Linked DNA regions of Mus musculus: all the other regions are reported to be linked to region 3. Evidence: microRNA targets listed by miRTarBase, many of them from high-throughput screens and not tested one by one. Region 3 holds a microRNA gene; each other region holds the end of a gene's coding sequence.

The links. Region 3 holds the annotated microRNA mmu-miR-24-3p (UGGCUCAGUUCAGCAGGAACAG, at 2,024-2,045, shown strand). A microRNA usually pairs through its seed, bases 2 to 8, with sites in the 3' UTR of a target mRNA and lowers its output. Matches are read on the target gene's strand: a 7mer-m8 pairs with bases 2 to 8, a 7mer-A1 pairs with bases 2 to 7 and ends in A, and an 8mer does both.
Region 1: miRTarBase lists Dpagt1 as a target of mmu-miR-24-3p. Seed matches in the 3' UTR shown: 7mer-m8 at 3,784-3,790.
Region 2: the mRNA of Naa40 is a reported target of mmu-miR-24-3p. Seed matches in the 3' UTR shown: 7mer-A1 at 639-645.
Region 4: miRTarBase lists Exoc6b as a target of mmu-miR-24-3p. Seed matches in the 3' UTR shown: 7mer-m8 at 4,102-4,108 and 7mer-m8 at 2,617-2,623.
Region 5: the mRNA of Hnf1a is a reported target of mmu-miR-24-3p. Seed matches in the 3' UTR shown: 7mer-m8 at 4,165-4,171.
Region 6: miRTarBase lists Agpat3 as a target of mmu-miR-24-3p. Seed matches in the 3' UTR shown: 7mer-A1 at 965-971 and 7mer-m8 at 2,706-2,712.

What each region holds. Positions count from the first base shown.
Region 1 is chr9:44,332,161-44,337,230 of GRCm38, reverse strand. Dpagt1 (dolichyl-phosphate (UDP-N-acetylglucosamine) acetylglucosaminephosphotransferase 1 (GlcNAc-1-P transferase)) reads right to left here. Exons shown (of 9, transcript NM_007875.3): 7 at 4,581-4,668; 8 at 4,260-4,415; 9 at 3,336-4,174. The coding sequence ends at 4,109. It overlaps H2ax (H2A.X variant histone), which reads right to left and starts at 2,516. Exons shown (of 1, transcript NM_010436.2): 1 at 1,154-2,516. The coding sequence starts at 2,469. The coding sequence ends at 2,038. It overlaps Hmbs (hydroxymethylbilane synthase), which reads left to right. Exons shown (of 14, transcript NM_001110251.1): 12 at 60-113; 13 at 219-305; 14 at 386-883. The coding sequence ends at 559.
Region 2 is chr19:7,223,409-7,228,478 of GRCm38, reverse strand. Naa40 (N(alpha)-acetyltransferase 40, NatD catalytic subunit) reads left to right here. Exons shown (of 8, transcript NM_027643.1): 7 at 50-127; 8 at 388-2,811. The coding sequence ends at 529. Among named protein-coding and RNA genes, the nearest start is that of Cox8a, 8.3 kb to the right of the region's middle.
Region 3 is chr13:63,299,228-63,304,297 of GRCm38, forward strand. It overlaps Mir24-1 (microRNA 24-1), which reads left to right and starts at 1,981; the gene lies at 1,981-2,048. Aopep (aminopeptidase O) reads left to right here. Exons shown (of 16, transcript NM_001289926.1): 16 at 1-3,650. Mir23b (microRNA 23b) reads left to right here and starts at 1,257; the gene lies at 1,257-1,330. Mir27b (microRNA 27b) reads left to right here and starts at 1,485; the gene lies at 1,485-1,557. It also overlaps Mir3074-1 and a transcript of Fancc not described here.
Region 4 is chr6:84,616,746-84,621,815 of GRCm38, forward strand. It overlaps Exoc6b (exocyst complex component 6B), which reads right to left. Exons shown (of 22, transcript NM_177077.2): 22 at 1,741-4,766. The coding sequence ends at 4,640. Among named protein-coding and RNA genes, the nearest start is that of Cyp26b1, 25 kb to the left of the region's middle.
Region 5 is chr5:114,945,796-114,950,865 of GRCm38, forward strand. It overlaps Hnf1a (HNF1 homeobox A), which reads right to left. Exons shown (of 10, transcript NM_009327.3): 9 at 4,899-5,043; 10 at 3,185-4,390. The coding sequence ends at 4,266. It overlaps 2210016L21Rik (RIKEN cDNA 2210016L21 gene), which reads left to right. Exons shown (of 6, transcript NM_028211.1): 2 at 1-33; 3 at 223-321; 4 at 496-569; 5 at 1,368-1,458; 6 at 1,887-2,745. The coding sequence ends at 2,202. Among named protein-coding and RNA genes, the nearest start is that of 2210016L21Rik, 6.1 kb to the left of the region's middle.
Region 6 is chr10:78,269,444-78,274,513 of GRCm38, reverse strand. It overlaps Agpat3 (1-acylglycerol-3-phosphate O-acyltransferase 3), which reads left to right. Exons shown (of 10, transcript NM_053014.3): 9 at 244-442; 10 at 739-2,951. The coding sequence ends at 827. Among named protein-coding and RNA genes, the nearest start is that of Gm30122, 7.9 kb to the right of the region's middle.

The DNA.
Region 1 (5,070 bases), not on the chromosome of region 3:
GTCTGTGGTCAAAAGTGGTGTTAAAGGCCCTTAGAGCTCAAAGGAACATATCATTGCAGGAAGGAGGCTGCAGCGTGCCCGTAGCAGTGCATACAGTGATGAAAGATGGGCAAGTAAGCCAGGGAAATGGATGAGGGGAGGGACTGTCATTTCCATGTGCACCGAAACATCTAAGTAACTTTCTTTAAATATCCTGGTACAAACATTTTATTTCCTAGCTGTACCTGACTGGTGGAGTCTGGAGTCTAGATGGCTCAGATAGCATGCAAGAGACTATGCAGGCCACCATCCAGGTCCCTGTTCAGGTATTGACTGGGAGATGAGGAAGGAATAAATAGAACTGCTTGTAATCTTCCTCTTACCAAAATTGTAACCTGTCATCCAGCAAGAAGATGGTCCAGAAGATGACCCACAACTGGTTGGAATCACTGCCCGTAACATTCCAAGAGGAGCCCAGCTAGCTGCTGAGAACCTGGGCATCAGCCTGGCCAGCTTGCTGCTCAACAAAGGAGCCAAGAACATCCTGGATGTTGCACGGCAGCTTAATGATGTGCGCTAACTGGTCTGTAGGGCACAGGAACCCTGGCTGCCACTCCACTGCCTACTTCTGGCTTCCAAGTGCCCTGTGCTCCATCCCTAGGGATGTGATTATCCCAGGAAATTGAACCACGGGGTTGTTGAGACTTCCACTTTGGAAGATATGCCTCACCTTGGGGCCTCCATATCTGCCTTTCCCTCAGTAGTTGGGGGCTTCATCTCTTTAGAGAAAGTCCATGCCAATCTTTGAATGTAACCAATACCACTAATAAACCAGTTTAGAATGTGGTTCTTCTGATAGAGTTGGGGAAGATATGAATAAACCCAAAGCCCTTTTAAACTTGAATTGAGTCTGAGACCTTTCTGTTGTAAAACACGCTGTGATTTGCCTCATGTTCTCAAAAAAAAAAAAAAAAAAAAAAAAAAAAAAAAATCAGCCTTCAATTCCTACAGCCTGTCTTCAGTCAACGGGATCTTCGTGGATTACATAGCCTTTCCCACTCCCACGGCCTGCAGAAAGGGAAGTCCCATTCTCTCCCAAGATGTGCCAGGCACATGGCTCTACCACGGAGCTATATGTCCAGCCCTGGGACTACAGCATTCAACATTAAACCACTTTTTTAAAAAAACAAAACCAAACGATCCTTTAATAAAATTAGCCCATTAAATCTCCCCACTTAAGGTTCTAAACTTGTAATAGCTGCAAAAGTTCCAGTTCAGAAGCCAGAGGCTCAGTCCAGACAGGGATTCACCGGCTTGTGCTGGTATCTAGGTGTTTGGGTTGTAGTTGAGTCGCTGGGGAAGAGGGGATGGATGGCTAGGCCCGGCTGCCAGTCGCCTGCGGCAGGTATAGAACTCTTGTCCACAGGCCGGTAAGCGTCTCTCTGACCCTTGCCGGGAGGTATTCCTAGAGAAACTGGGTTCACATTACAACCATTTTTGGCCCCGCCACACCACACTGGCCTACGAATGGCGACAGGGTCAACTGGTATGAGGCCAGCAACGGTGACACCGAAGGAAACAATGTGATCCATTTCTCCTCCTCTAAGCCCGGCAATCAAGTCACTTTTCAAAGGTCCAGGCGAGGGCTAAGCACCAAGCTGAAGCAAAGACGCCGGGGCTGTAGCTGCGGAGGGACTAACCTTCAAGCCCACCGCGGCCGGACGTCTGAGCGAGGGGCCGAGACTCCGGGAAGGCGCCGCAGCCTCTCCGCACGGAGCCGTCGTCCACAACCGAGAACGGCGAAGCGATGTCACGAGCTCCGGGATGGGCAGGTGCCGCGGCGCCCGCGTCCTCCGTGGCAGAACCGGAGGCCGTGCGGGGTAAGGGGAAGAGTGGCGCGAGGGCGGGGAGGGGAGAGGAGGGAAAGAGAAAGGATGGGGACGCGGCAAGCCGCCGCAGCCCGAAGTGGCTCAGCTCTTTCTGTGAGGGAGGTGGTGGCCCTTAAAAGGGCCTTTGTGGAGGTGTGGGGAGGGCTGGGCGGCCTCGGCGCGGGCCCCCTCAGTACTCCTGAGAGGCCTGCGAGGCCTTCTTGCCGACCGCCGGCGCCTTGGGCCCCACGGTGGCGCTGCTCTTCTTGGGCAGCAGCACGGCCTGGATGTTGGGCAGGACGCCGCCCTGCGCGATGGTCACGCCGCCCAGCAGCTTGTTGAGCTCCTCGTCGTTGCGGATGGCCAGCTGCAGGTGGCGCGGGATGATGCGCGTCTTCTTGTTGTCGCGGGCCGCGTTGCCCGCCAGCTCCAGGATCTCGGCAGTGAGGTACTCGAGCACCGCTGCCAGGTACACCGGCGCGCCTGCGCCCACGCGCTCGGCGTAGTGGCCTTTCCGCAGCAGCCGGTGTACGCGGCCTACAGGGAACTGAAGGCCGGCGCGTGAAGAGCGCGACTTGGCCTTGGCGCGGGCCTTGCCGCCGGTCTTGCCGCGTCCGGACATAGTGTACGAGGTAGAAGAGCTGCGAACAACGCTGAGAGACCACGAACTACCAACCGCCGCAGTCAACGGTCGCCTGGCCGGCCAAGCCCGGCCTTATAAACTCCCTGGACACGCCCCCGCTTCCTCCTGATTGGTTCCTTTTTTAATACCCACCTCTGGTTGGTTGCAATTAACCCTTCGGTGACGCGCCTTAGCTGAGAGAACGCGCCCAGTGATTGGTCCAATTTGAAAACCTTTTACCCGGGGAAGAAGACAAGGCGGAGTGGCCGCAAGCCGGAGGCTGCTCACCCCTGGAAATGGCCAATCCGTGTAGAGCGCGCGAAATTTAAACGCTACGGCGCGACAACAAAACCTGAAGACTAGAAGGGTGGAGCTTGGAGCTACCTCTACAGTTTCTGGGAAATTTGAGTCGGTCTTTGGTCTTAAAGGAAAAGGGTCTACACTATAAGCAGCGTTCTCCTTCCAGGTTAGAGCACTTCCCACTCCCTCCTCTAATCTGGTAGACGGAGGGTTTATTTGTTCATTATTATTTTTAGGTTTGTTTGTTTGTTTTTCGAGACAGGGTTTCTCTGTGTAGCCCTGGCTGTCCTGGAACTCACTCTGTAGACCAGGCTGGCCTTGAATTCAGAGATCCGCCTGCCTCTGCCTCCCAAGCCTGAGGATTAAAGGCGTGCGCCACCACCATCTGGCTTTTGTTTGTTTGAGACAGGGTTTCTCTGAGTAGCCCTGCCTGTCCTGGAACTCAGAGATCAGCCTGCCTCTGCCTCCCTAGTGCAGATTAAAGGGAGGGAGGGTTTAAAAGAAACGAAATGAAACCTCCTAGGAGTTTAATCCTATGCCAGAAAATGGAGCACTGTGATCTTTTATGCTATCACAAGTTTGTGCTGCGATATTTATTCAACATGTTCTGTCTGGTCTTAGTTTGTGACAGGCCTTTTTTGCAAGAAAGGGTCTGATGGAACAGAGATCGGTATCCTATTGGGAAAGGTACCCGGTCTAACCCTTCCAATCTATCCTAAAATGCCTATATAAAAAATAAATATACCAGACTTGGCATATAGTTCAGTGGTAGAGCAGTTAAGTATAAGGAAGCCCCGGTGTTCACTCCTGAAGCACCACGAAGGTTAAAAAGGACAGAGGGAGGGGATGCTACACTAGAGGAACAAGTAAAAGGCAGTCCTTTATTGTCACCGTTCTGAGCACATGGCCCTGCCTCTACGCTTCCCAATCACAACACTTCATTTGATAGTCAAATGTGAGGTCACCTTGGAGTATGTAGCCCTAACTCTAGCCCTAGCCCAGGTTCTCTCTCAAGGCTCAGGTGAATTCCTTTAGAGTTAGCGCTCTGAAAGCTGAGCTACGAATATTTGCATAATAGAGGCTACAAGCCCACCTGGTGAGGCTGCAGATGGGACAGAAAGGGAGGGCAAGGCAAGATGAAAGCCCTAGGCAAAGTCCAACTAGCGGACTTCAAGTCCAGCAAGGTGTCCATCCAGGATATCAGTAGTCACAGATGGCAGAAGCTGAGAACAAAAGTGTCAGCGAGGCCTGGACCAGAGGGTCATCTCGGACCAGACAGAGGCTGGTCCTGGCTGAGGTCCAATGGAGACTGTGAGGTAAAGGGCAGCTGTCAGGGAGCTCAGACATCATAGAAGAGTCGGACGAGTTGGTAACGAATGGAGAAGGTGGCGGCGCTGCTTAGGACCTGGGAGAAGTGGACTGGAATTAGAAGCAAGGCCAACCAGAGATGTAAACGCCATGGCATTACTAAGCCCCACCCTGAGCTGTACCTGCAGGAGCAGCAGGAGCAGGGTGAGGTTTCTCTCATGTATAGGCCCAAAGACTTTAAGTAGCAAGTTGATGAGGGTCATGTTGTTACACTCAGTGAAGGCACCGTCCTCACTCTCACCTTGGTGAACTGTCACTAACCGGAGGTTCTCTGCTACCTGCAGGGACCAGAGGTGAAGATGACTTCAGTTATGCAGATCTACTTCACGAATAGGGATCTTCTTGATGTTCCCAAACTCCCCTTGGGCCTGAAAAGGCCTAGGTTTCTCTTTTCCCAAGTTAAGGATGGCGGCCTCGGGCCTTACCTCCTGTTACCTTGTTACCTTTAAAATAAAGGTGCCCAGGAAAGAGAGGTTCTTGGTCTTGAACTTGGAATAGCTCATTTCCAGTTTGCCTGTCTTTGCGTTGAGTCTGCAATGGGAAGATAATTTCATTTGACTGAATCAGAGACCTCTGCACCCTGGTTACTAAGAAGAGTACTGAGGCCGGGCGTGATGGCGCACACCTTTGATCCCAGCACTCAGGAGGCAGAGGCAGGCGGATTTCTGAGTTCAAGGCCAGCCTGGTCTACAAAGTGAGTTCCAGGACAGCCAGGGCTATAAGGAGAAACCCTGTCTTGAAAAACCAAAAAAAAAAAAAAAAAAAAAAAAAAAAGAGTACTGAGTACTTATGTACTGGAGTTGGTTTCTGGCTCCGTGATCAGGGCTGTTGTAAGCATTACATACTATGTAAGTAAACGAGCTTCGTAAATTACAATGGGCTACCCACATACAGTCGGCTCATCTTTCCCCTCATGTTTTTTTTACATAGGAA
Region 2 (5,070 bases), not on the chromosome of region 3:
TAGCCTTTGGATTCTGTTTCTAAAAGGTGCTCACTCTGCTTTCTTCCAGCACACAGATGAAGAAGGTGATGTTAACTGTTTTTAAACATAATCATGGCGCCTATCAGTTCTTCCGAGAGGCACTGCAGTAAGGAACAAGGCTCGGGTGTGGTCCCTCAGGGTGGTCAGGGTAGTCCCTTTGCTGGTTCCCAGGTACCTGCCTGCCCTCATCCTGGTCCTAGTCAGTGTTCATGGGCGTTGGGGTTTGTGCTATCTTATCCCACTGCCTTCTGACTTAGTCCTTGCACCCCGTTGCAGAGGTCTCAGAAGTTTGGAGAACTTCTTGACTCAGGGAGCCAAACATTTTCCTTGCCAACACGCAAGTCTTTTTCCTGTCTGTCTTTGCAGGTTTGAAATTGATGACTCTTCACCCAGCATGTCTGGTTGCTGTGGGGAGGACTGTTCCTATGAGATTCTGAGCCGGAGGACCAAGTTCGGGGACAGTCAGCACTCCCACACAGGCGGCCACTGTGGTGGCTGTTGCCACTGAACTCCTAGAACCACTTTGAAGGGATGTCACTCTCCTTAGGCCTGTCCCCTCCCTGGTCTTATGCCACTTGCCAGGTACCCTCAGAGCTGTGGGGTGCCTTAGTTCTGCGTGAGCCAGGCATATCCTGAGAACACAGAACCTTGGGGAGCAGTGACCCCAGCTGCCTTTCCACCTCCCTCCTGGAAAAGCAGAGTGCCAGGAGGGAGCACCGAGGAGAGGGTGCCGTGAGATTGACAGGTTGGCTGTCAAGCTCATCCTTGTGCAGTAGCTGCCTACTTACTTAGTTCTTGGGCCCCTAAAATGGAAGGCTTCCCTCTTGTCTGCAGCTGAGTTCCTGACCGGGTTGCACACCATGCCCCATATGGACAAATGGAATGTTGTTAATACCCACGTTTGTAAAAGGCCTGGAGTCTGCTGGTCCCCAGAAAGAACTGGATGCAAATCTGGGCATACAACAGACCTTGGACATCTTTTCTCTGGGGACAAAGTGCTCTTTCAGAGACCATGTAGCCCTTGATGTCAAGGTGCAAAGGTTTGCACTGTAATCTTATAGATCCACAGGTGGTGTCTCGGGACCAGCCAACTTCAGGAGGGAGTCTGCCTCCACCACTGTCAGTAAGACAGGATCAGGAAGAGCTGTCTCTTACGTGTTTGTCATAGGGATGTGGCATCTCTGGGCCTTTGGACTTTGCTGCATTTTCATGATCTTGACTTGACCTTTTTATTCAAGAAGGAAGTCAAAGTCCTGCCTGTTCTCACACCTCTCTTCTCAGCCCAGATACCTCTGTTCTTAGTCTCAAGGGGAACAACATCAGGGAGCCTCTCGTCTTCCCCAGAAGAACCCTTCCTTCCTGGTATAGCTGAATCCATTTCTTCCTATTCTTGGTGCTGATAGCTCTCTGAAGGTGGGGTACTTCCCTGCCACCCTCCCTGACTGAGGGGCCCCAGCCAGCAGCAGGCCCCTTTGCCTGTTCTCCCGAGCCCCACCCCTCACCGCCTCAATGAGGCACTCGTGCCACTGTCTTGGCACCCCTGGGATGCCTTTCAGTGGCGTACCACTGCTTTCCTGTCATGGGTGTCACCCTACAGTGACAGGCTAGAGCCAGAAGGCCTTCCTCCTCAGGGGATACAGGCTTAGAACTTGAACTCGCCCTGACCTCTGGATCCTGTTCTTCAAGGAAGCAAAACCAAATCCTTACCTAGAAAAACAGACTTGCCACTTCCCCATTGCTGCCCCTGAGTTCCGCCTTGGGAGGCGTGGCAGAGAGCTTGCCTTTGTGCAGTTGCTTTCAGAGACTCTGCTACCGAGCTGAGTCTGTTCACCTTACCCAGCCTGACTCAGCTGTCTGTTCTGGCAAGTCTCCCCAAAGGAGTCACCTCTCGCCCAGATCCTTGGCTTGTGCAGTAGCCTGGACTCAGAGAGTCCTTTCTTGCTTGGTCTGTCCGCTGTTGAACACTCTGTGCTGTTGTTAGCCCTTGGCCTTGCCTGGGAGAAGGCCTTGCAGCTTTACACTGGAATAGGTCTGCTTTTGTCTGGCTTGCTAGCTTCTGGGCTATACCTCTGGTGAGAGTTGGAGCTGCCCAGAAGGGATTGGCATGCTCCTTCCGAGAATCATGAGACAGGAGCATGCTTGCAGGAGTTATTCCCTAATCTCTGTCTGTCTTAGATCATGAATCTCTGATACCTCCTACTTAGGGGTCCAGAAGGAACCCCCAGTGTAAGCCCCATGTAAGGTGAATAGAGTGTCTCGTCTCCAGTTACTGGACACCCAGCACCAGGACTCATGGTGCTCAGTGCCTGCCCTGCTCCCCACCCTCTGCAGGCCCCATCCCAAAGGGCCCTTCAGGATCTCTCACTGGACCAGCGGGATGGTGGCCAAGACCAGCAGATTACTCCTGTGGGTGTTAAGCCCAGTGGTTCATCAGGCATCGTCTACCGCCCTCTTGTTTTGAGAAACAGCAGGTCTAATCTACTGTACCAGGCTCTTTTGCTTTTTGTTCCAGGAGTGTTAAAATGGTTTTAAAAGTTTTCGTTTTGTTTTAGTGAACCTATTCCATTTCAGGTTATTTTTGTTGCTGTTAAATGTTTATGGTTCTTTTTAACCTTTTCTGGAGGGTTGGGGGGTTATTTTTGTTTTTAAGAGGAAAGTTGGAAGGTAATTTTGTTTTATATTTTTTTTCCTAGCAGTTCATTATCACTGGAATCAAAGGGAAAAAAACCATCTCTCTTTGTATCCATTTTATTTGTATGTCATTAATAAACAGATACTTTGTGCAGATGCTGGGATGGCATCCAGATACTGGGTGCCATGGGCAGTGGGTGTCAGGCTTGGGCTTTGGGAGGCGCAAGGCTGTTCTGGCCCCACACCCTTCCTGCAAAGGAAGCCTCATGGAGCCCAAGTGCATGTGTTTGTGCCATTTCCCAGAAGTTGTTGGGTGAGGTAAGGGATGTCAGAATACCGTCTGCTTGGCATCCTGGAGCAGGCCTAGAGCCAGGCACTGTGACTTGGGGCATCAGTGCCCAGACATGAATTCTGTGCTCTGTGTGAGTGAAGAATGAACTTTGTCCCCGTGTTTGCTGTGTTACTTAGAATATTCCTCATCAAAGTTTTCAACGAGTACTCTGAAGTCTCTCCTCACAGAGGAAGCCTGACTGTCAGGCCTGACTGACTTCTGTAGCGAGGCCGTTACAGCTTGTTCCCCGGGCTGGGCTTCTGCGGGCGTAGGTTCAGGTCCTGGGAACTGGAGAGCTTGCTGTGGACAGCAAATGTCACCAATGATTGGGCAGTGTGGTGGTAGGTAGAGGACAAGTCAGTGGGAGCCCTGGTGGATCTGGGGGAAGAAATAGAATATTCAGTGAGAGCAATAGCAAGTTGCGGCCCCCCTCCCCCCCACGAATGGGAGCTTGCCCGGAGTATGGCTGATGTACTGCCTTGTCTGAATCCTGGAGGAAGGTGTCCCTGCTGTGGGAGGGAAACAAGTGGTTTGCTTAGCTGCATACCATAGACTGTGACAGAGGTTGTGTGTGTGTGTGTGTTGATAATGGAACTTGGCTGTTTGCATGCTCAGTATAGGTTCCCTACCAGTGAACTACAAGCCCAGTTCTTAGGTTTTGATTTGTTTTTGCAAGGAAAGATTGACATGTACATAAGTCAGGCTTGGCGCTCACTGTGTAGCCCAGGGTAGCCTCCAACTCATGCTGGTCTTGTTTCCAGCATCCAAGTGCTGTGGTGCCCTTGTGCTTCACACCTGGCTTATACTGAGGTGATTTTCTCTGAATGGACATCGCCTTGCCTGGGGATAAATGGCAAGTGGCGCTGAAGCAGTGGGACCCATCAACACAAGCCTGCGGTCTGGGAGAGCTGCATTGGCACCCCATTTTGCCACCTTCCCCATGTGTGGTATAGCTCCTGGGGATGCTTTTTGGTCCCTCAAGCTGCAGTGCCAGCTTCACTTGACTGGAAGTCAGTGAGGTGTGAGCCCACTGGGTAGCCATCCATTACCTAATAGTCACTACTGCCAAGTTTGAAGATCCAGATGAGGCTGAGTGAGATTTCTCTAAAGTATTCTATCCCTGAGCACAGGCGCTTTCTACTGCCTAAGATCAGGGTTTAATGTGGAGGGAAGTGTGGCAGTCTCAGTTGGTAGAGCTACTGCTCTTTGGTGTTCTCTATCTCTCTGTCTGTCTTTCTCTCTCCACCCCCACCCCCCATGTGTGTAGTGGGGAACCTGCTTGATGAGCCCAGAAATACTCAGGGTAGACCTGGCCCAAGAATGCTCTGCACAAGCCAGGCGTGGCAGCGCATGCCTTTAATCCCAGCACTCGGGAGGCAGAGGCAGGTGGATTTCTGAGTTTGAGGCCAGCCTGGTCTACAAAGTGAGTTCCAGGACAGCCAGGGCTATACAGAGAAACCCTATCTTGGGGGGGAAAAATGCTCTGCACATGTCACCATGTTTAACTCTTTAGTGGCCTGGTCCCATAGCTGGTGGAATTGCTCACAGTATAAAGATGAAGTTACTTGCCACAAACCTCCCTATAGAAAGTAGCAGAGCCTGGACTTGGGCTAGCAGAGCAGGAAGTCCTCTTTTCAATTTGCAGCTCATGAGGGTAGGATAGAGCCCCTTTCCCCCACTGTTCCCATTACCTTAGTTTTCATCCTAGGGTGCCAGGCCAGACAGCTGAGCCTGCCAGAGGGAAGCAGACTGTCAGCCCTTGCACTGGCACCTCACTGCTCTACCTAGTGGCTGTGTCCAGCCATTTCAGGATATCTAGAGCATGGTGATAGCTGTGCCCAGAAAGAGCAAACACCTCCAGGGCCCTGAGTCACTGTCCTCTCTCCTCCCCACTCTGCTCTCTGTTGCCTGCTTAGGTTCCTAAACCAGCTCTGATTTCTGCCTCCTGCTAGATTTTGCCAGGATGTTGTTTGGCCCTATGTTGGGTATAACCTGAAACTATCCTAGTGTCTCCTGCTGTCACTTACCTAGAAAGTCAGTTTCCTCTGGATGGAGGGAGGGCCAGACACCCTCACCCTTAGTGAGAA
Region 3 (5,070 bases):
AGTAGGCAGCAGGTCTTCTCTGCCCCTCCATCCAAGTGACACTTGCGTCCTAAAGGCAAGTCTGTTTCCATCTCGTGCTGGAACAGGATTTACGCTGGCTCCCAGAGTCCTTGGCTGTGGTGTAACTTGCCTCCTCTGTAGCCAGCTTGTGGACCAGTAATGCAGTTCAGCCACAGGGCGTGGAGTTCTGAGACAGGTGTGGGCTAGTGCGTCTCTTTCATAGTCGCCAGTCATCATCTCTACATCATCCCAGGACATTATCGCTTGCCATGGTGGTACATATGATGTTTACTTTTGTATATGTTTGAAATTTTACATCAATCACTGTGTTACTCTGTTGTTCTCTATGATTACCAATTAATGAATATTTAGAATTGTGTTGCTAATCTTAACCCATTGTCAGACATTAAATTTACATTTTCACATTTCACTTTTATAAAACCCACTTCTGTGTAATGTTTATTTTTCTGAAGAACTACACTGATGAAGGGAAAACATGTTACTATGTATGACCATGTTGTTGCAGAAGAGCTGGGGACCGCCACAGTCAAGCAGGGGAGATAGTGGGCTGGAGTAAGCAGGTACAGCCTGCTAAGCCTGCACACTACAAGCTAGGACGGTGGCCTGTGTGGATAGACAGAGTCGGTCGGGGCGCCTCTTCACTGCCTCCTGCAGACATTTCTCTAGAAACTTGTAAGCTGAGGGATTGTTGGTATGTGGTGTGTGAAGGTCACACAGTAAAGCCACTGTTCCCTTTTTAGGTCCCTAGGCCTTCACTTAGGAAAGCCATAGTCACATAGTGGTCCTAGTGACTCTTCTAAGAGTATTTTTGCCCCCTGAGTGAGCAAATCCTCAACTTGCTAGGTCCCCTATGAGCTCTGTGCTATGCCTCAGCTTATCCAACCAAATGCTTGGTCACAGGCAAGCCAGAGAGATGCTCCCTCCCTACACACCACACCTGCTGTCTGAGGGGCCCAGAGACATCCCAACCCATTCAGTCTGCAATTGGAGAACAGGGTGTGTCCCAGGGTTAAAGGCCACATACTCAGAGCAAGGATGGTCCCTAAGGTATTGGTCTCATAGCTGATAAGTGTGTCCTTTGTCTCCCAGTCCCCTATGCTCCTCTATACAGTGCAGCCAGCGCGCTGAAGGACAGCAGGCTGCACTGCTAGCGTGGTGGGCTCAGAGGCGGTTTGGAGGACACTCAGCACATGTGGATGGGAGTGGTTGGGCATGGTGCTGCCCTCACCTGCTCTGGCTGCTTGGGTTCCTGGCATGCTGATTTGTGACTTGAGATTAAAATCACATTGCCAGGGATTACCACGCAACCATGACCTTGGCTGCTCCTGCAGAACCGTGGCTACTTTCTCTCTGCAGTTTGGAGAACAGAGGCGCCTTGTGGCTCTTTGGAAACAAAAGAAGCCAACAGCCTTCGAAGATGCTCACCAGCCCTTTAATTATGGCCGGCGATGACCTCTCTAACAAGGTGCAGAGCTTAGCTGATTGGTGAACAGTGATTGGTTTCCGCTTTGTTCACAGTGGCTAAGTTCTGCACCTGAAGAGAAGGTGAGATGGGGACAGTTAACTTGCAGCTGCCAGGCAGAGGCCACTGCCTGGTGGTCACTCCAGAGGAGGAGAGACCAGCCTGCCTCAAGGCTGTGTTGTCAAGAGTGCAAACAGCGTGCTGACCACCCTTAAGTGTGTCTACAGAAAATACAGTTCTACTGCTAATTAGTTCACTGTAATGTCAAGTGTATTGGGAGTCACAGAAAACTAAACCCAGGTGCATCAAGGAAACTGAGCCAACCTTGTCTCAGCTGATGCCACACGTGATGGGTGGGGGTGTGGTTCTTTGTCCCTGCTGGGCGTGGTGAACTCTTTCTTGTATTTGCAGTCCAGGTCTCCATGTCTCCACAGTCGCTGGCAAGATGATGCCCAGGGCACGCCAGGAGGCACTGCCCAGCTGTGATTGGACCCGCCCTCCGGTGCCTACTGAGCTGATATCAGTTCTCATTTCACACACTGGCTCAGTTCAGCAGGAACAGGAGTCGAGCCCTTGAGCAAAAAGCCTACCCATCTGTAAGTGCCTGAGGCAGGCCTCCCACGGAGAAGAAGATGAAGGGCCTGAGTGTCTGGTACCAGACCCAACAGCAGTGGTATCCCTCTGTATGTGCTCCCGAGGTGGGGATTTGTAGAGTGCAGAGCTAACCTTGGAAAGTTTGCATTCCCTAGAAGCAGGTAGGGCAGGCGCTGAGCATTTGCCACGTGTTGGGGCAGAGCACACCATGTCACCGCTGCCTTGAGCAGTGAGAATGCCTGTCTGAAGGGCCTTGTCTGTAGAGCCTTTCTGAACCTCTCTGGGCTTCACAGCCCTGCATGGCCTGTGCCGTGACTGTGCACCCCAGACCCAGGATTGTGAGGTGTGGCTTCAGTGTTGCCCCTGTCCTCCCATGAAAAGTTCCCTCTCAAGTGGAGGTCAGAGGCTGGGAGGACTCCTGTTGGAATGGCTGTGGTGACTGGGTAATAAATTTTATTGCTGTTTCCTCCACAGGACAGATCACAGTGAGATTCTCATATACCTTCTCCTAGCCCTGGTGGGGCCAGGACTGCACTGACCCTGGACATCAAAGGGAGGATTATGTGGCTGCTAAGGCCATCAGCCCACAGCAGTGGTTGGTCCATCTTGGGCTTCCAGAGACTGGGCTCCCGTGGCATATATAAAAGGCGGAGCCTCATAAACTGTTGCACCTGGCAGCTGCCTTTGTTCCCAGTCCTAGAGAGACTGAGTCTACACACTGGAATTGAGCTGTGACTTTAAGGCAGTCATTCAATGAAGGACACCCTCCCCTAGGCAGATGGAGAGCCGGTTGCCTGCTTCCTGTGATTGCAAAAACTAGCTGCCATGCTCTGAGACTGCAGAATCATGTGACACCTCCTGTGGCTGGTCCCCAAGGATTCTGCAAAGCCCTTTTGATGTGTTCAGTCAACAGAGCATTCCTGTTTTTGAAAATGCAGGAAAGCCTAAAATGTCTTAATAAAGTACCAGATTTGCTAGTGTTCCAGTTTGCTTCTGAATTTGATGCTCCTTAAAAGCAAAGAAGAACGTGTGTCAGAACAGGCACTTTCCACACACTTCCTACCTCCAGGTAATGTTAATTCTAAAAAGGTTGGAAGTAAAGGGAAATTAGTGTGGCTTGGGACTCTGCTCTCTTCCAAATGTGGAGTTTCAGCCAGCCTGGTACTAGCGGAGTCTCAGAACAAGCTCTAAGCTCTTTCAGTCACTGTCTAGAGAACGGTGCTTGAGACTGAGCCATCAGTGCAGTCACATGAGCCCAGCCAAGGCAGAGCGGTGGACAGAGGAACCAGAAGGAGCATCCCACTGGCTGGCCAGGCTTCTGCACCCAGACCTGCTGGGTGACAAAGGCTCTAGGACAGACTGAGAGGAGCGTCCGCACAGAACCATTGGTTTTCAGAGCCTGGGCTGTAGCAGTGACTGCATTTGGATGGTTGCAGGGGACTTGCAAATGGTTATCTGCTTTGTATACCACAATGGTACAAGTATCAAAGTGTGTTAATTCTACTTAATGTTACCCTGATTTCTGTGAAGACTTGAAATAAATGGCTGAGTCTATGCCTTCCTGCTCTCAGAAGCACTCTGGCCTTGCTTAGAGGTGGACTAAGAACCACACACCCTGTAAGGCCCCTCTGAGAACCTCAGTGGCCCATACCTCCTCTGAACTGGAGAGAGCAGCCAAGCACTGGTTTAGTCTGGTTTTGTTCTTTGTTCTTAGGAACCACTAAAGCAAAACAAAGCTGTCGCCTAAGGTGGGTTTTGTTCAGGGATCAAGTCCCTTGTCCCCATGGGTCACTGAGCCCTGTGCCTGGCTGTGTCTGGCTTGGGTTCTTGCCAATGGGTTTCAGGTAAGTGGAGATCTCACTGGAACCAGATGCCCATTTCACAGCTTTGGTGAAGGATCTGTGGTAGAGCTGTCCTTTGCCACCTCTGGCTGGGTGCAGAGCAAGCCTATCCTCCCCTCTCCTCTAGTCCCCCACCCCAACAAGTTAGGCAGCAGCTCCTGCCACCCATAGCTGCACCAGAGGCCCATGAGGCTGTGGAAGCAGGCTTCCCTCATCTGGCTGAGACCTCTGGAGTCAAGAAAGTGCAGTCTCCATTCTTCCGTGAGCCACCTGACTTCACAGGACACAGAACATTGCAAACGTTAACTTGTCAAATAGGATGCGAAGCAGGGTCTGAGGGCGGAAGAATGGATGTCTAGGGAGGCTTGACCTCCTCCTCTGAGCTGTCTCACCCAGGGAGGAGTTTGCTCTATAGCATATGGTTCAGGTGATGAGTGAACTGTTGGCGGAGGAAGGATGTGGATCATCACCCAGGCTCCTGCTCCAAACCACAAGTGGGCAGAGCAAGAAGCTGGATCCCTGGGTCAGTGTTTGCTGTAGACCACTCTGTAGTGCTTGGTCTTCAGAGCTTTGGTGTCCAAGCCTTAGGCAGGGGCTTGGAACCCCTCTAAGGAACTCTCCCTCCCACCACTCAGATGTGAGACTGAGCCTGTGTTGAAAGCCTGGAAGCCTGAACCTGAGTCTGCTCCTCTGTCCCTGGAGAGACTGAGACTGTCCTTGGTGGTCAGGCACACTTGTTGCCAGCACTATTTCCATGCCGTTTTCTAGCCTCACTTCATTCCTGGAGGAAGCTGAAGGGTGAGAGAAACCCAATGGGAGCAAAGTGCTCTACCACCAGGCCCATGCCTCCAGTAGGTAGAGGGGCCGGGACAGGAGGATCCGTGTGAGATAACTGCCAAGAGGTGAGTGGGATAGCAGAAACACCAGCCTCTTAACCCTGCCACTGAATACTGTCATCGTCATTGCTAAGCAGATGTCCATCACTTGAGAACAACAGGCCAGGGCTGGGCCAGCCTGTTCTCACTGATCCCACCAGAAATGGCCTCCTTCCAACCAAGACAGCCTAGAGTTACTCCATCTCTTCTCCAGAGGAGACACACCCCTCCGTGTTATCTGGGATGCTTCCGACAAGGATTAGAGCAGGCCTCAACC
Region 4 (5,070 bases), not on the chromosome of region 3:
AGTCAGGCCCACAGGAGCTGCTGGTCCTTCCTCGGCTGGACATTTGCAGCTGGAGCTCAGAGATGGTGGAAGGTGCCCTGTGGTAGCAGCCTTGAGACAGGCCAATGGCCTCACCAGACCCTTTGCCATCTCCCTGTACCCAAAATACAGAGTCCTCTGGACCCTCAATATACATCCTGGTATGAAACAAAGCTGTTCTGGTCTTTGGAGTGACCTGGATTTCTACCAAGGTTCCTGAAAAGGGTGGGTACCAGTCTTCAAAATATGCCAGCACTTGAGGAGGGAGACAAGGAGAGAAACTGATGGCTCAGAGCCTTGTTGGCTCACAAGGGAATCTTTAAAGGGATTTGGTCATCATTTGTAGTATTTTAATCATGTCTTTTTCTCTACACTTTGAACAAAAGCCACAAACCTTCTCAAAACAAAGAATGGGTAGATGAAAGCCCATGTGCACACATCAATGTGTGTACACCACATCCGCACCCACATTTCAAGGAAACTGTACCTCTGCCTTTGAACTACATGCTACCAGGAGGAGGCATATTTTATGGCACCAAAGTGAGAGCAGAGGAGGCTCCAGGCAGAACTGAAAGCAGGCTTTTGAAAGCTGCCTTTACTCAGAACCAGGTAGCTGGTGGTCCTGGGCCCTGCAGAGGTATGTGAAGTCTCTACTTCCTACCTGCCCTGTGATGGGCTTGGAAAGGAAGCCAGGAGATACATCTGTGAGATGCTCAGTTAAGAGGCATGCTGTAAACCGGAGGGAAGGGAGAACAAGGGAGGCCTTCAATAGTGCATGGCTATGTCAGGCCAGGTTCTATAGCCTTCACAGCTCTTGCATTTTACAATATCTCTGTAAAACTAGGAACCATAACTCTAATGTCACTATTGAGCTAGCAAATTAATTGTTCAAGAGGATCCAGCCGGGCTCTGAAACTTGTCTGCTGTGTGGTGACATGGGCAGGAGAAAGATGACCCCTCTCTAGATCCCTCCAGCAGGCCGGAGAGCTGGCCCCTGGGTCATCAAAGCTGGAAAGTTGTTTCTGTCCCTCACAGGCTGAAGCACTCTGGAGAGCAGGCCCTGAACCTTGTCTGAGCAGCACATGCTCTGTTGGGGACGGGAGGTTGCAAGGATGGAGGGTGGGTATGAGGGGAAGGAGAGATAAGTGGGGTTGGGGTGTGTGATGTGAAATTCACAAAGAACCAATAAAAAGTTTTTAAAAAGATGATCCAGCTAGTGGGCTATATAGAAGGAATGAAGTCCTGGTCTTCTGGCAGCAAAGCCCACAAAAGTGTGAGACTGGTCGCTTGGTGTTCTTTCCAGCCTCTTCTGAGGGTGAGCAGGTTGGTCTTGTTGCATGAACATTTCTACTCACCATGGCTACAGAGTGCCCAAAGGTCCTTTACTGCCTCCCAGCACAAAACAGGCTAGGGACAACTTCAAGCTTTGAAGTATCTCAAGCAATCCTGTGGTGTCCTACAGTTACATCATAAGGCCATGCTAATGAGCACCCCACATAAACCAGGAGCTTCAATATACTTCTCTTGGTGGCTATACCAGTGCCAGTCAGATATGTTAACAACACCGGAGGTCACAACACAGCCTCTTCCCACCAGGTTCTTGCTAGCTCTGCTCCTTAGTCAGCTCAGTGGGGACACGCTGTCTGCTATCCAGTATTTGTCACAAACCACAGACACATTGTACAAAAGGGATGAGAAGAAAAATCTCACAAGACAACACAGTGGCTTTTGCAATGGGTATGTAGGCTCTCGTTTAATAGCAGTTAAAAGAGGAAGGTGCACAGGGGAGTGGGTTACTCATGCTCTTTCCACAGAGGAGCCCCCTTCTGCAGCAGCCTGCAGCAGAGCATGAGAGGAGAAGGTTCCTTTTGGAGGTTCAGATGGATCTCACTGCTTTTCTCCCACAAATGTGGAACTGCGCAAAACGAAAAGGCAATTTCCAACATGTCAGGGAGGAGTGACGCAAATGCAAGTGAATAGGAGAGAAGGAACAGAGGGGTGGAGGGAGGGGCACAGCAAAAGCAGGCTGAAGGAGGCGTGGTGAAGCCACCCAAGCCTGCACTCAGAGGTCTAAGGAGAAAACTGGCCACTGCCACCCTTGGGCTTGGGACCTGCTGAGCTGGGTGCCATAGAGCTGGACGGACTGTCAGGCCTGATGCATGATAGAGTCACTGGGAGATACTGCTTTTGTTAACTGGGATTCTGGGCTCCTGTATGCAGGTCCTGCTCTTCTCCACCCATACCAGTGTTACCTGGTACTGAGAGTTTTGTTTTGTTTTGTTATGTTTTTCCCTCATGAATGATAAAAAAATAAGTGAGCCCCTGCTTAACCAAGGCTCACAAACCATACTGTCTACAGGGCTATGGATCTGGTTAGAAGGCCACAGACTTCCAGGCAGCAGCGTCTCACCCCACCTGAAACTGAAGGAATATGGTCTGTAGGCATCTGAGGTAAGGTCAGAGTCTGAGGCCTACCAGCACACATTCTGTGCTCAAGTCTTCAAGGCCAGCTCAGCTTTAGGCCTAAGGACAAAATGAAAAAACAAAGTCCCACCTCATCAATTCATAGCCCCCTCACACTGTGGACCCCGCTTTCCCGGCTCAGAGGCAGCAAGCTGCTTTGTCAGAGAACAGCACAGCAGACGCAGAGCTGGGCAAAGGCAAGCGGCCATCCTCACACTCTGTGACTGAATGAGAGTCCCCGTCAGCAGGACTCTGGTGAGGAAGGTAGAGTGGCCCTGGTCCTACACATGGTTTTCATTCCATCCATGTCAGTTCCTTTGGGACAGAGGTGGCAACTAGACAGGCAGCAAGATGGAGTGATTAAAAGTGTCCCCAAAGGACAAATGTTGTGACAGCCCACTCTCTACACTGAAGGCTGACAAGCCCTGGTGAAGAAAGGGCCTTTCCTTCCTTCTCAGTCAGTCAGGTTTGTGGAGTCACTTCTCACTGGTCACAGACTGAGGGCTTCGAGAGATCTCCTTGTCTTCTCTTCCACAGGCCTGGGCTCTCTGCTGGCTAGTAAGTTTTGTGTATTCTTCTGTGACTCTTCCTGAACCTCTGGGCCATTATGTAGCCTGATGATGAGACTTGAAGGCTTATGCAGAACACCTGGGTAGCTTGTTCTCTCCAGTTGTAGAAAGCTGTACCTCTGTGTGGTGTACTTTTCTTGCTGGTGTTTGAGATTGCTATGGCAAGGGTGAGGCGTGTTCAAGATGACGTAGGCTGTGGTGGGCTAAGAGATATGGAAGTACAGCTGTTCCAGAATGACACAATAGCTGACAAACGTAATAAGTGATTGCTTGACCAGTCTCTCTGCTCCTCACTGGAGCTGGAAACACTTTTGTGGCATCTTGGTCAGTGTTCCACAATGCAATTAAACTCTCAGCAGCAGTCAGGCTAACAGCTTCTACAAGTGTCTCAGTGCAAAGTCCCTCTGGCCAACTTCACAGGAACGCCTTCACAGGATCTCAGGAGTCTATAGTTAGCCCACACTCCAGAAAACAGAGATGTGACTTCGAGAAAGCACTCTTAGGTGAGGCTAAGGGACAGCTCAGAAGATGGGAGCCTTGGGCTTGAACAAGACAAGCCTTGTCTCTGTGATGTTATTTTGTTGATGACAGCTGGGCCAGAGGCAATAATCCATTAGCTACAGTTGACCCTGTCTACATCATGGTGATAGATCCATTCTCAGAAACATCTAGTCCTATGGTGGTTGTGCCCAAGGGTGTAGAGCTTGGGACGTTTTCTTGAAAGATGGTAGCTGTAAGGCTGTCATCAAGACAGGAATATGCAATCTCACACATCATGAGGCTCTACCCATGGTGAGGGCACCCAGGCTACTTTCAGACTTCAGGGAATCTGGGCATTTAGAGATGCTGCTGGAATTGAGTGTGAGACTCTCAGGGACCTTAAGAATTGCTGATTTATGTTCTGAACCAAGAGTTATGGTCATAAAAGAAGAGACAGAGATGAATGGCATGGGGACTGGAGTCCTGACCCAACTTGGCTTTTTAAGATTCAGAAAAACAACTCACCTAGTGGGGCAACTTCCTTTTCAGCTAACTACCCTTCTCCCCACAAGGCTCAGCCAGACCTAAACTAATGAAACTGCAAGCTATGGGACCAGAGTGAAACTGTCATCTTGCCACATGCCACACTCTCATGAGCCAATAATTCAACCAGCAAGGCAGATAGATATCCTAAACTGAGGCTGGCTTTGGCATACTACATAGTCATGTCTGCCAGGCTCTACTTATGTACTTAAGCAAATACTTGAGAGCAAACAGGATATATATTATTATCCTTTTACTTTCTCATCTCAACTCCCAGTGCTAGGTACCCACTAAATTCGTGGAGCACTGGATGCGGCTCACCATGTTGGCACTGACAGTGTAGCTTTCCCAGGAAAGTGTAGCAGTAACTTCCTCTAAGCCCTGGTTCTTGCTTACTCTTGTGCCTCTCTTACTATAGGGAAAGGTTATGTGAAAACTGTACAGGGGTTAATAAAAAAATACATATGCTCTCTTTGAGGAAGAATGCACAAATGCAGGGCCAGCCCAGGGGAGATCCTGGACCACTGGCTACAGCAAGTGGCCCTCTGTGGGCCCAAGGCCAACATTCAGGAGTGGTGGCTGCTGATGAGTCCTCGGAGCTGCTTGGCCACGGTGTCAATCAATTTCTGCTTATCTCGCTCATTTTTCCGGAACTGTGCAAACATGTTATTCTTGCGGCTAGTATCTTTCATCCTAAACAGAGAAGGAGAGAAAGATGGCAAGGTATTTGAGATAGTCCAGACAAAGGACAAGCAGGAAGTAGGAAGATGGCAAGATGTATCTTAACCATTACCTAGAGTGGAAGAGTCGGGAATCTTTCCATTGTCCAGCTACCTACTCATTATGGACCTGTCTCTTTCAGACACCCATCACCTTCCTGACAACAAGCCTTTGGTCAAGAGCTGGCTTTAGAGCGTCTTTATCCTCACACCTCCCTCACCTAACCCGCTCTTATGTCTTCAGATGAGCTCCTTTATAAATGTCTGAGACATGGCAC
Region 5 (5,070 bases), not on the chromosome of region 3:
TAAACAAGCACCGACCCCGCAGCCAAGCCGCAGGTACTGTGTGTGCTCTGCACGGAAGCTTCATTGAGTCATTCAACAAACACTGATTCCCCCTGTGCGTGCCAGATGCTAGGTTAGACCACAGGGTGTCAGAGGGACGGAGACAGGCGGTCCCTCCCTACTGAGGGCAGCTTCTAAGCTGTCTGGAAGTGATGTCTTGATGTCTGTCTGTGCGTGTTGTAGGCATGAGGTGAACCAGCACGAGGAAGATGGCAACGACCTTCGGACCACTCCTGAGTTCCGAGCCCACGTGGCCAAGAAACTGGGAGCCCTGCTGGACAGGTGAGCGGAGGCTCATGTCATACCCCCAGTCATGTCCTCTTGCTTCAACCTCCCAGATTCTGGGATTACAACCTCATGTCCCAAACCCAGAAAAAAAAAAACAAGGAAAAGAAAGAGTTGTTCAGTTGTTGTTACCCGAACCGTCATCCTTGGTCTGGGCCTCCTCTCCCTCAGCTCCATTGCCATCGCAGAAGTTTGGAAGAAGTCGCAAAAGGCAAAGATGCAGCAGGTGGCAAAGGAGGAGGATGGTGAGTCCTTAGACTGCTGACCAGTGCTGCCCTGCAGAGATGCCCCTGTGTGCCTGTGGCCAGCAGCCCTTCTTGCATCTGCTGTCCCCACACTCTGAAGTGGGAACCACAGCACCCCATTCCCGGGATGAGCTAGCTCTGAGATCCCCCCACTTGCCCTGTTACCTGCAAGCATTGTGGCTTCTTACCCAGTCTTTCCCTCCTGCTCTCTCTGGTCCTGACCCTTTTGTGGACCCTTTTGGAAGCCAACACAGGTAAGAGACTCAGCTACAGACTTCTAAAGCCCCTGGAATCTGGGTAAGGTGGTGCTTTTAATCCCTGCACTTGAGGCAGAGGCAGGGAGATCTCTGTGAGTTCAAGGCCACCCTGGTCTGCATAGCTAGTTTCTGGACAGCCAGGGATACACAGAGAAATCCTGTCCCAAAACAGAAGCCCCTGAAGCTCACTGTCCAGATGTGGCAGCCAGTCTGTGCCACAAGCCCCTGCCTCTGGCTCCACAGCAGGGCAAGCAAGCCTTGCTTCAGATCAGCTTCAGTTTACACACACACACACACACACACACACACACACACACACGGCAGTGAGGTCTAAGCCTTGCCACTAGACTGGGAGTACCTAAGGACTGGCTGCGTCCTTAGCACCTGGGGGAAGGGCCAGTGTCTGCCTTACTGACTGCTGGCTCTGCCCTATGGTGTCTTAGGGCCAGTGTCTGCCTTACTGACTGCTGGCTCTGTCCTGTGGTGTCTTAGGGCCAGTGTCTGCCTTACTGACTTCTGACTCTGTCCTGTGGTGTCTTAGGCTTCCGCCTTTTCTTCACATCCATCCCCGGAGGCCATAAGAAGGAAGCCTCTCCAAGACCCTGCCGGAAGCGCCAGCCCCCCAGCTCCAGGTAAGTGCTCACAGCCTCTCCTGGCCGAGCCTGAGGAATAGCTAAGCAACCCCAGTCAGGCTCAGACGGAGCAAGAGATCATGAGATAATAAGGCAAAGTATTCCCCCAGCAGGAAGGCACAGGGTCTTCTGGGGGGGGGAGGGGGAAATCCCATGGTTTTCAAGAGCAGCCATCTTGGGCCAGAGTCCCGCCTTTATCATCCTTGTCTCCTGAGAAGAAGCTCTATGAGGTTTGGACACTGTCAGGGCCCTCATTGTAGATGAGACTACTAAGGGTCAGAGGCTTCGGGTACTTAATGCAGCCATGTGACTGACGAGCAGAGAAGCTGACTCGAGCCTGAGCTACTTGGCTGCCTCCATCTGGTCCGGAGGCAACCAGGCAGCTCGGAGACCCGTCCAGCTAACCTGACTACTCGCCATGGTGACAGTGAGGACAGCGATGAGGAACTGCAGCGGTGCCGGGAGGCAGCTGTGTCGGCTTCAGACATTCTCCAGGAGTCAGCCATACACTGCCCTGCCAAGGCAGAGGAGAAGAAGAAGTTGAAAAAGAAAGCCAAGAAGAAGGTGGACAATGCTGACCTGGCTGCAGCCCCAGGTCTGGAACAGGTAAAGGAGGCAGGCGTTGTCAATGGGGACCCGGTGTCGCTTGGGATCCAAAAGAAGAAAAAGAAGAAGGCCAAGAAATCCAGAGAGGCTCCCCTGTGCCCACCAGCAGAGTGTGCAGCGGCGAAGCCTGAGAACTGACCCCAAGCTGTAGGTCCAGCCCTGAGGATCAGGTGCCCATGGAGTTAGGGCAGAGCCAAGCCACACTCCCAGTTTCCAGCTTCCCACAATGACTGCCCAGGGTGACTTTAGGTGGGCTTGGCCAAGAGTCCAAGCAATGGAGTGGGTGTATGAGGAGAGGCCTGGAATAGATTTGTGGTTCCAGAACGTTCCCCAGCTTTTGGACTGAATCTCAGAGCATCCATCTCCCCAGCCTGTGCAGCCTTGCATGACAGTTGTCCTAGAGAATGATGGGCAGGGGTCTCCAAGCTGCCGAGGCCCCAGAAAAATTTTAGTACCTCTCCCCCAGACTTAAGAACATTGTCTGGAAAAGAAGGGAAGGTCTCCCCCACCTCCTCCTCTCCCCACATTTGTCTGTAACATGTTGACTTGTTAATACCACAGGTAAGTCAGTCACTGACAGTCAGGTGCCAGAGCACCTGCTTAGTGCTAGGCTGCATGCAGGCTTGGGTACAAGGCCCTAAGAAAGAGAAAAAGGAAAATAAATTCTCACGTGTCCCAAGACCTACACTAGCTCTGCCCTGGTCAGTGCTGATCATTTTTGTCTTATTGTCTAGAAGAGTCTCTGTGTAGCTCCAGCTGGCCAGTCTCCTGGTTTGCCTCCTGTGCAGTTACACCAACGACCGTCAGTGCTGGGGAATCAAACCGGGGCATCCCACTTACCACGCAGATATTGGGCCACTGAGCCACCTCCTCTGTGCCGAATGTTAAGGGGGCATCTTATATAAAAACCACAGGTGGCTCCCTCTGTCACCCCAGCTTCAGGACTCCAGGGAATGGTAGCACACTTGGAGTACCAGGTGGGTTTCTTGCAGTAACAAGGACACACAGATTCAGGCAGAGTCGCCTCATTTCCAGTTAAACAAAAAGATGTGTAAACATGTACGGGGCTTCGCTCTGCCTTCCCTCCTGGCCACTGATGGACAGTCAGGAAGCTTCCACGTGCTTTTTACTGACTTTACTAAAAGTTAAATAAACATACAGGCTCACTTATGGTTGGCCGTAGGCTACAGTCCAGGATGACAAAGGAGCTGGCTGAAGGCCAGGTTCCCTGCAGTAGGCCCGAGGAGACAGTCATGTGTGCTGTGTTTCCCTGGGCTGCTCGGGACCCAGGATTTCTCAGAATGGCTGCTAGCCCCCAGGCCACTTAGGTGGCTTCTCTCTGCTGGTCTTGGTACCCTCTCCACTAGACACTGCCCAGGCCTTGACTTCTGAGTTCTGCAGGTCTCCCTCATAGCAGGAAGGAAGTTGTCAGGGGCCTACAGGCAGAGGAGTGGATTGTCCATGGTGTGGTCTTGGCATGAGTTGCAGGTCCTAAGGAACAGGGATGACAACCCGAGCCCTGAAATGGCCTTTCTAGTGGATGCAAGTTGCCAGGCTGGCATCAGAAGACACATCCAAGGGAACAGATGGCCTGCAAGTGCAGTCCTGGGGCTGGGAGAAGGGATGGCTTGGTAGGGGAAAGCCTAGGAGAGCCCCGAGTGGCTTCCCCTCAGCTCCCGAGCCTAGCAGAACAGCTGGGTAGGAAATCCCCGTGGTGGGGAGGGTAATCCTCAAACAGGCACGTGGGTCTCTGGTGCAGGGTGGAATGGCCTGGGGAGGTGCAGGAGGCAGCAGGCAGCTGTGTTGATCTAGGGCCTCAGAGCTCAGCACAGATCCTTGAAGGCCTGCAGGCTCTGACTGGGGGGGTGCGGGCACCACGAGCTTCCCCACTCCTGTCCCAAGCATTAAATTTCCTATTCTAAACAGCAGGGATGGTGGTCCACAATACTGCCCAGATTGGGCCGTCCTCCAGCTCCTCGAGGCTCGCTTGTCAGGCTGAGACACCTCAGAGCCATCCCTTCCTGATGATGGAGGAGCAGCAGTGTCAATGAATGCGTAGACTTCTGGGAAGGCCAGCAGCCTGTGTCAGGTGGCATGGCAGGCTCAGATATCCTCCAGGCAGTGTGGCTGCGGCCCTCCTCACCCCCTATGCAGGCAGTGCAGGCCCTGGGGACCCAGCTCCTGGGAGGCAGTCACCACGGTTACTGGGAAGAGGAGGCCATCTGGGTGGAGATAAAAGTCTCGATGACACTATGGTTGGATGGCAGCAGGTGGCTGTGCCCGTTGGAGTCGGAACTCTGATACAACACCAGGCTGCTGGAGGACACTGCAGAAGCAAATGAGGTTACTAGCTGTTGGCCAAGTCCCCTCCGACCCCTACCCCACCTGCCCATCTCTTAGTGATGCTCCAGGGAGAGACAGCAGAGCCTCACATTCTGAATCACCAGCCAGGCGGTGGTGGCACATGCCTTTGATCCCAGCACTTGGGAGGCAGAGGCAGGCGGATTTCTGAGTTCGAGGCCAGCCTAGTCTACAGAGTGAGTTCCAGGACACCAGAACTATACAGAGAAACCCTGCCTCAAAAAAACAAAAACAAAACCCCAAGCAAACAGGAAAAAACACAAAACAACCTCCTCTGGCCTCTGCATGTGTGTGTAGAGCACCTATACACTCACATACATAATATATGCATGCATGGATGTGCACACAGATCCCAAACTACTGCTTGGCATTCCGCAGGCACCACATACAATGGGCAAAGAAGCATTTCCCACCTGCCCCTGACCTGTTGTTGCACACACCACCTACATACTTCTGGAAGACCGCTCGCTCACCTGTGGGACTGGTGCTGAGCCGGTGAGCAGGCTGCAGGTGCTGGATGTTCGACGGGTCCTGGCTGGGGATGTGGATGGTGGTGGCTGGAGAGGGTGGCTCGTGAAGCCCGGGCTCACTGGAGGCCTCTGTGTCTGAGGTGAAGACCTAGGGAACCAGAATAAGCCCCCCACT
Region 6 (5,070 bases), not on the chromosome of region 3:
ATAGGCTAGTCATGACCCCTGGCAGCTTTGCTTGCTTGGCTGGCAGGATCCTAGCTAATTCCTTTCCTGGTTGCAGATGACACACAGCAACTGAAGGTCCTCCAAGGAAGTGCTCCTCCCACCTGCACTGGGGCAGTCTGCTTCATTCTGTGCCCTGGGCAAGTGGCTTTTATTGCTGAGTTTTCTCCTGAATCAGAGTCACACTTGTGGATCTCAACTTTGTACTGTCCCCTTGACTTTCAGGATGCCCTGCAAGAGATGTACAAGCAGAAGGGTGTATTCCCAGGGGAGCAGTTCAAGCCTGCCCGAAGGCCGTGGACCCTCCTGAACTTCCTGTGCTGGGCCACCATCCTCCTCTCACCCCTCTTCAGCTTCGTCCTGGGTGTCTTTGCCAGTGGATCCCCGCTCCTCATCCTGACGTTCTTGGGGTTCGTGGGAGCAGGTAAAGAGCACAGATGTGCCCGCTCACATGCTGGGGTCACTGGGCCACCCATACCCAGGACTTTTGGTTCATCGTGATGGGCCCAGGAGGCAGCAGCTGACCCAGGTCAGGGACTGAGTGACCCTGGCTCCTGAACATGGTGGCTGTGGAGGACTGTACCCTCCTCTCACTCTCCCATGGCTTCCTGTACTAGAGTGACCATACCCGGGGAGGAAGCAAGTGAGGTGGGGGTGGCAAGGCCAGTGAGGGTGTCCTGGTGAGGTTAGCCTCTAATCTCTTCTCTCTTGTCTTTCAAGCTTCCTTCGGAGTCCGGAGACTGATAGGAGTGACTGAGATAGAGAAAGGCTCCAGCTATGGCAACCAAGAGCTTAAGAAAAAGGAATAATTAATGCTGTGATTGAACACCCATAACCTGATGCGGTATCCAATTAACTCAATTAAAAACAGAACACACAAGCGCGAGGGAAAGAGACACTTAGAGACTATTTTTCTTATTAACTGGTGACTAATATTAACAAAACTTGAGCCAAGAGCAAAGAACTCGGCCTGCCAGCTGAAGATGGTCGGCCAGCACCGGCAGGGTCCCATCAGCCCTCTGCGGGGACAGAGGCGGGTTTGGGGGAGGTGGTGGGGCCACGGCGCTCCCCCAGAACTCCACCTCCAAGAGGCAGCCTTGGCTGCTCTCCCTTCTTAAACTTAGAATGAGGCTTTTGTTTATTATCAGTTATTTGGGGGACGTAACCTGGCCCCAACCCTGTGCCCTGTGCCCCAGAACACTGGCTCTCCCTGGGTGCCGCTGCCTACTGGGGGCAGGTCAGCTAGCCCCCTGTCCTGCAGCATTCATCCCGCCCTGCTTGGCACCTTAGCTTCCAGCCCCGGGAGAGGGAGGAAGTCTTCTTAGAGATAAGCACACACTGAATGTGGATCTGGCCCTTTTGTCCTTCCCTTGCCCTCCCTCCCCGCCCCCCCCCCTGGGGTGGGGTGGGGCTGAAGACCACACCTCCGTCCTCTGCAGCTTCTGTTGGCACCGCCTTGCTGGGGGCTGTGTCTAAGCACCTTAAGTCTCTTTTAAAAGTGAACGCCCGCCCGAGAACTCTGCAGAATGTGGAACCCTTGAGTTCATACAGCACCTCCATACTGTTCCCTCTCTCTCTCTCTTCCTCTGTAGCCAGCAGGCTGCCATCCTGCACAGGGCCAGATGGGAAGACCGCATGCGAGCCCCACACCTCAGAGCTGTGGTGCCTGGGGGGCTGCAGCCTATGGAACTCCCCTGGGACACTCTTCAGAGGGCCGTGTCACCATCAGGCCTCCCGTTCTCAGTCAGACCCCTTTAGTGCTTGTTAGCATTAGAATCTCTTTTTACAGGCATTGGTCTGTGGCTGGCTCGCAGCTTCTCCCTGACCTCCTCCTATTCTGCCTCTATTCAGGCAGGTGTCATGGCTGCTGACCATACCCACCATTGCCCCTTACCACCTCAGTGACATACACTGTCCTGGCAAAGAACAGGGGACCTCAGCCTGCACTTGGTGCCTTGCCAGGGTCCCTTTGCTGGCCCTGGAGGCCCATTTCCTTCTCGCTCAGCACAGGAAGGACCTGCCTGGTTTCTGGGAGACCTAGGTCCTCAGGAAACACCATCATAAGCTTTTACCTTCTGTCTGGAACTGGCTCTTTTAATGTCATTCATGTTTTCTAACAAGAAAAAAACTGGGTAATTTTTCCCCCCTGTGGCATACTGCAACCAGAACTCATAGTAAAGGCAGAGAAGATTTATAGTGTACACTGGAGGAAGGAGGCCTAGAGAAGCCTGAGGGCAGCCCTGGGCCTGACTGTATGGCTCCAAGTGCTGGGGACCGAGTCACAGAAGATGCTAATAGCCTCACGGTCCATGCACAATAGTGGTTTCTCCCACTCTTGGGTAACAGCAACACACAAGGCTGCTTGTAAGGGTGAAAGGTTGAGTCAGGCTAACTGAGACAATGAATCTCTTCCCCTCCAGCTGAAGACTTGAGCGCCCTGGCCTCTGCCAACTACGAGCCATCTTGGGCATTCCTGAGGGTCTTCTCCCTCCTTGGTGGGTTTTTTCTTTCTGTCTTTGTCTGCTTGGGGTCTCTGTCTTTCCCCACACACCGTCTCCTCACAAATCGGAAGGTAACAGGCCAATGGGCCCTGCCCTGCATGCACCTGCCTCCCCCCTCCCCCGCTGGGGAAAGCAACCTCAGAGCCTTTACCACTTCACTAATGCCTCTGGCTTCCCACAGAAGCCCTGAGCCTTTGGGGTCAGCTGACCGTTGAGTCTATGAATGACAGAGGATTCCGGGCTGCAGGCTCTGCCCTCCTAGGCCTGCTCATCATCCAATGCAGCGCTTCTGAGAGCAATAAAAACTACACTAGTAATGTGGGTGTGGGCTTATTTGAGGGTGGGGTGGGGTCAGATTTTGCTTTTCATCTGCTTCAGAAAGAAAAGGGGGAGGAGAGCCCCTTCAATTTTTCTATTAAATTAATAAATCTCAGAATAATGCTTTTTCTCTTTTTCCTTCACACCCTACTACTGATAGGCATGGCAGATGTCATGCCCAGATTCGGGCAGAAGTTGTGAAGCAAACTTCTGAAGCAGTTTGCTAGTCTTCAGGGAGCCCGTGCTAGAAGCAGCAGGCTTAGGAGCCAGAGGCATTCTGGAACTGGAATGGTTGGTGGCCTGGGGGGTGGGGGGGCTGGCCTGCTAGGCTGGCTCTGCTTCAGGCTCCCCAGGAGAGGGACCCCCACAAGGTCAGCCCAGACTGGGATATGGCCTCCTCCCCACTCAGGGTCAAGAGCCAGATAAGTGAGGCTCCCATCATCTCCCCGAGAGACCCTTCCACTGTCCAGGTGGTCTCCCACCCCTGGTCCCTGGCCACACCCACATACCTCATGCAGGCCTCTCTGAAGCTGTGTTGAACTTCAGCAATGGCTGCCATTCTCCTGACTGCTTGTTGAGCATCTAGGGACTGTGCTTCTCTCTCTGAGGGCTTTGTGGTAGCATCCTGATTGGTGACCATCCTTGGAGAAGCAGGAGCATCACACTAGGAAGGCTGAATGGTCAGAATGTGGGCAGTTCAGAGATCAGGGACACTCTCCTTTTGACAAGACTTTTTAACCCAAAGGTTAAACAAACAAAACAAATGCATGCTGTTTATGGGTCTTTGGTGAGACTGCATCTATGAGGCACATCTCTGAGATGCTGTAAGCCCTGTCCTGGGGGGAGGGGAGTGAAGGGGGAGAGGCGGAACCAGTCTGATTAAAGAGATGAGCTCTGAACACTCAGGCTGCTTGATAACAAATGGCAACAATGTAACAACACTTTCTAGTAGGAACAGTGCAGGTGTCTCCACAGATGCCTTGGCTGCCCCTCCCTCCCCTTTTGTGTACCTTGCCCTGAGAATCTTTTCTACCTAGTCCAGCCTTCATACCATCCAAGGAAAAAAGTCTGGGTGAGCCCCAATTTGTGTCAGGTTCAGGATGGAAGAATTAAGTGGCTCTTCCTGCATGTTGCCCTGTCTCTGCCTGAGACTGTATAGGACAAGCCAAAAGTAGCCTTTCCAGTCCTGATGACCTGCACCTAAACTGTTTGTCCCACACATAAACCCAAACCACTAGCTAGATGCATGCGACGCTTAATGCTAGCCATTTTGGTGTGGCTTCTAGCCCTCTACAGTGTCATGAAGCTCAGGGTTAGAATGGCGCACCTGAGATGCCTGCTGCCTTCTTTCTAGAAACATCTCTGGCCTATGGGCCAGCCCCAAACCAAAGGCAACTGGGCCTGGGTTCGGGCACCCCTGACCTGCCTCAGGCCTTGTCCCAGAGTCTTGCCGTGGGGCTGTCAGGTGGGTACTGACATTCACGCCCCAGATCCCTGCATACAGGGGCCAGGATTTTACAATGCAAGTTCAGGCTTTGGGCGATCTGCTTGGCTGACAGGGTGGACACATGAATCGAATTTATCACAGGCTTTTGAAATCGGTTAATCCAGGGGAAAGGTGGTATTCTCCCAAATCACTCCAGAAATCAACCAAGGAGAGCACTTCGCAGAGGTACCAGGGATGGTGGCATCCTCTCTTCACAGACAGCGACCTGTGAAACTGTGAACTTTGTGCTGACAGGTCACCTGGAGGTTTCTTTTTCTCCGTAGCTTTTTTGGGTTTCTTTCTGTTGCAAAAGTGTTCGGACAGAAGCGGAACTGTGAATGAGACTCTGAAATGCACTAAATTGTATTCTATTAAACTGGAGTTACTTGATTCAATGAAGAGCTGTAGTGCTCTACTTGTATTTATTGTCTCAGAGTAGAAACATTGTGACAATCAAACATGACTTGCCTCAAGGCCTGTACCTCCTGGCTTCTGGACCGAGTACCAGCAAGTACTATAACTACAGGAAATGGCTCTTTCTGGAAGCCGCACAAACCATGGACTTTAATGATCAAGTGCTGCGGTGGGTGGGGCGCAAATATCTGGGTTGCTTTTCCATTACTGAGAAATTGCCATATCGGACTGTGGGCAGTCTCCAAGGGATGCTTTGTCTCCAGGGTGCAACTGTGTTAATATGGACGTTTCCTTTTGTACTCTTCTTTTTACAAGTTTGCTACTCACAAAGCT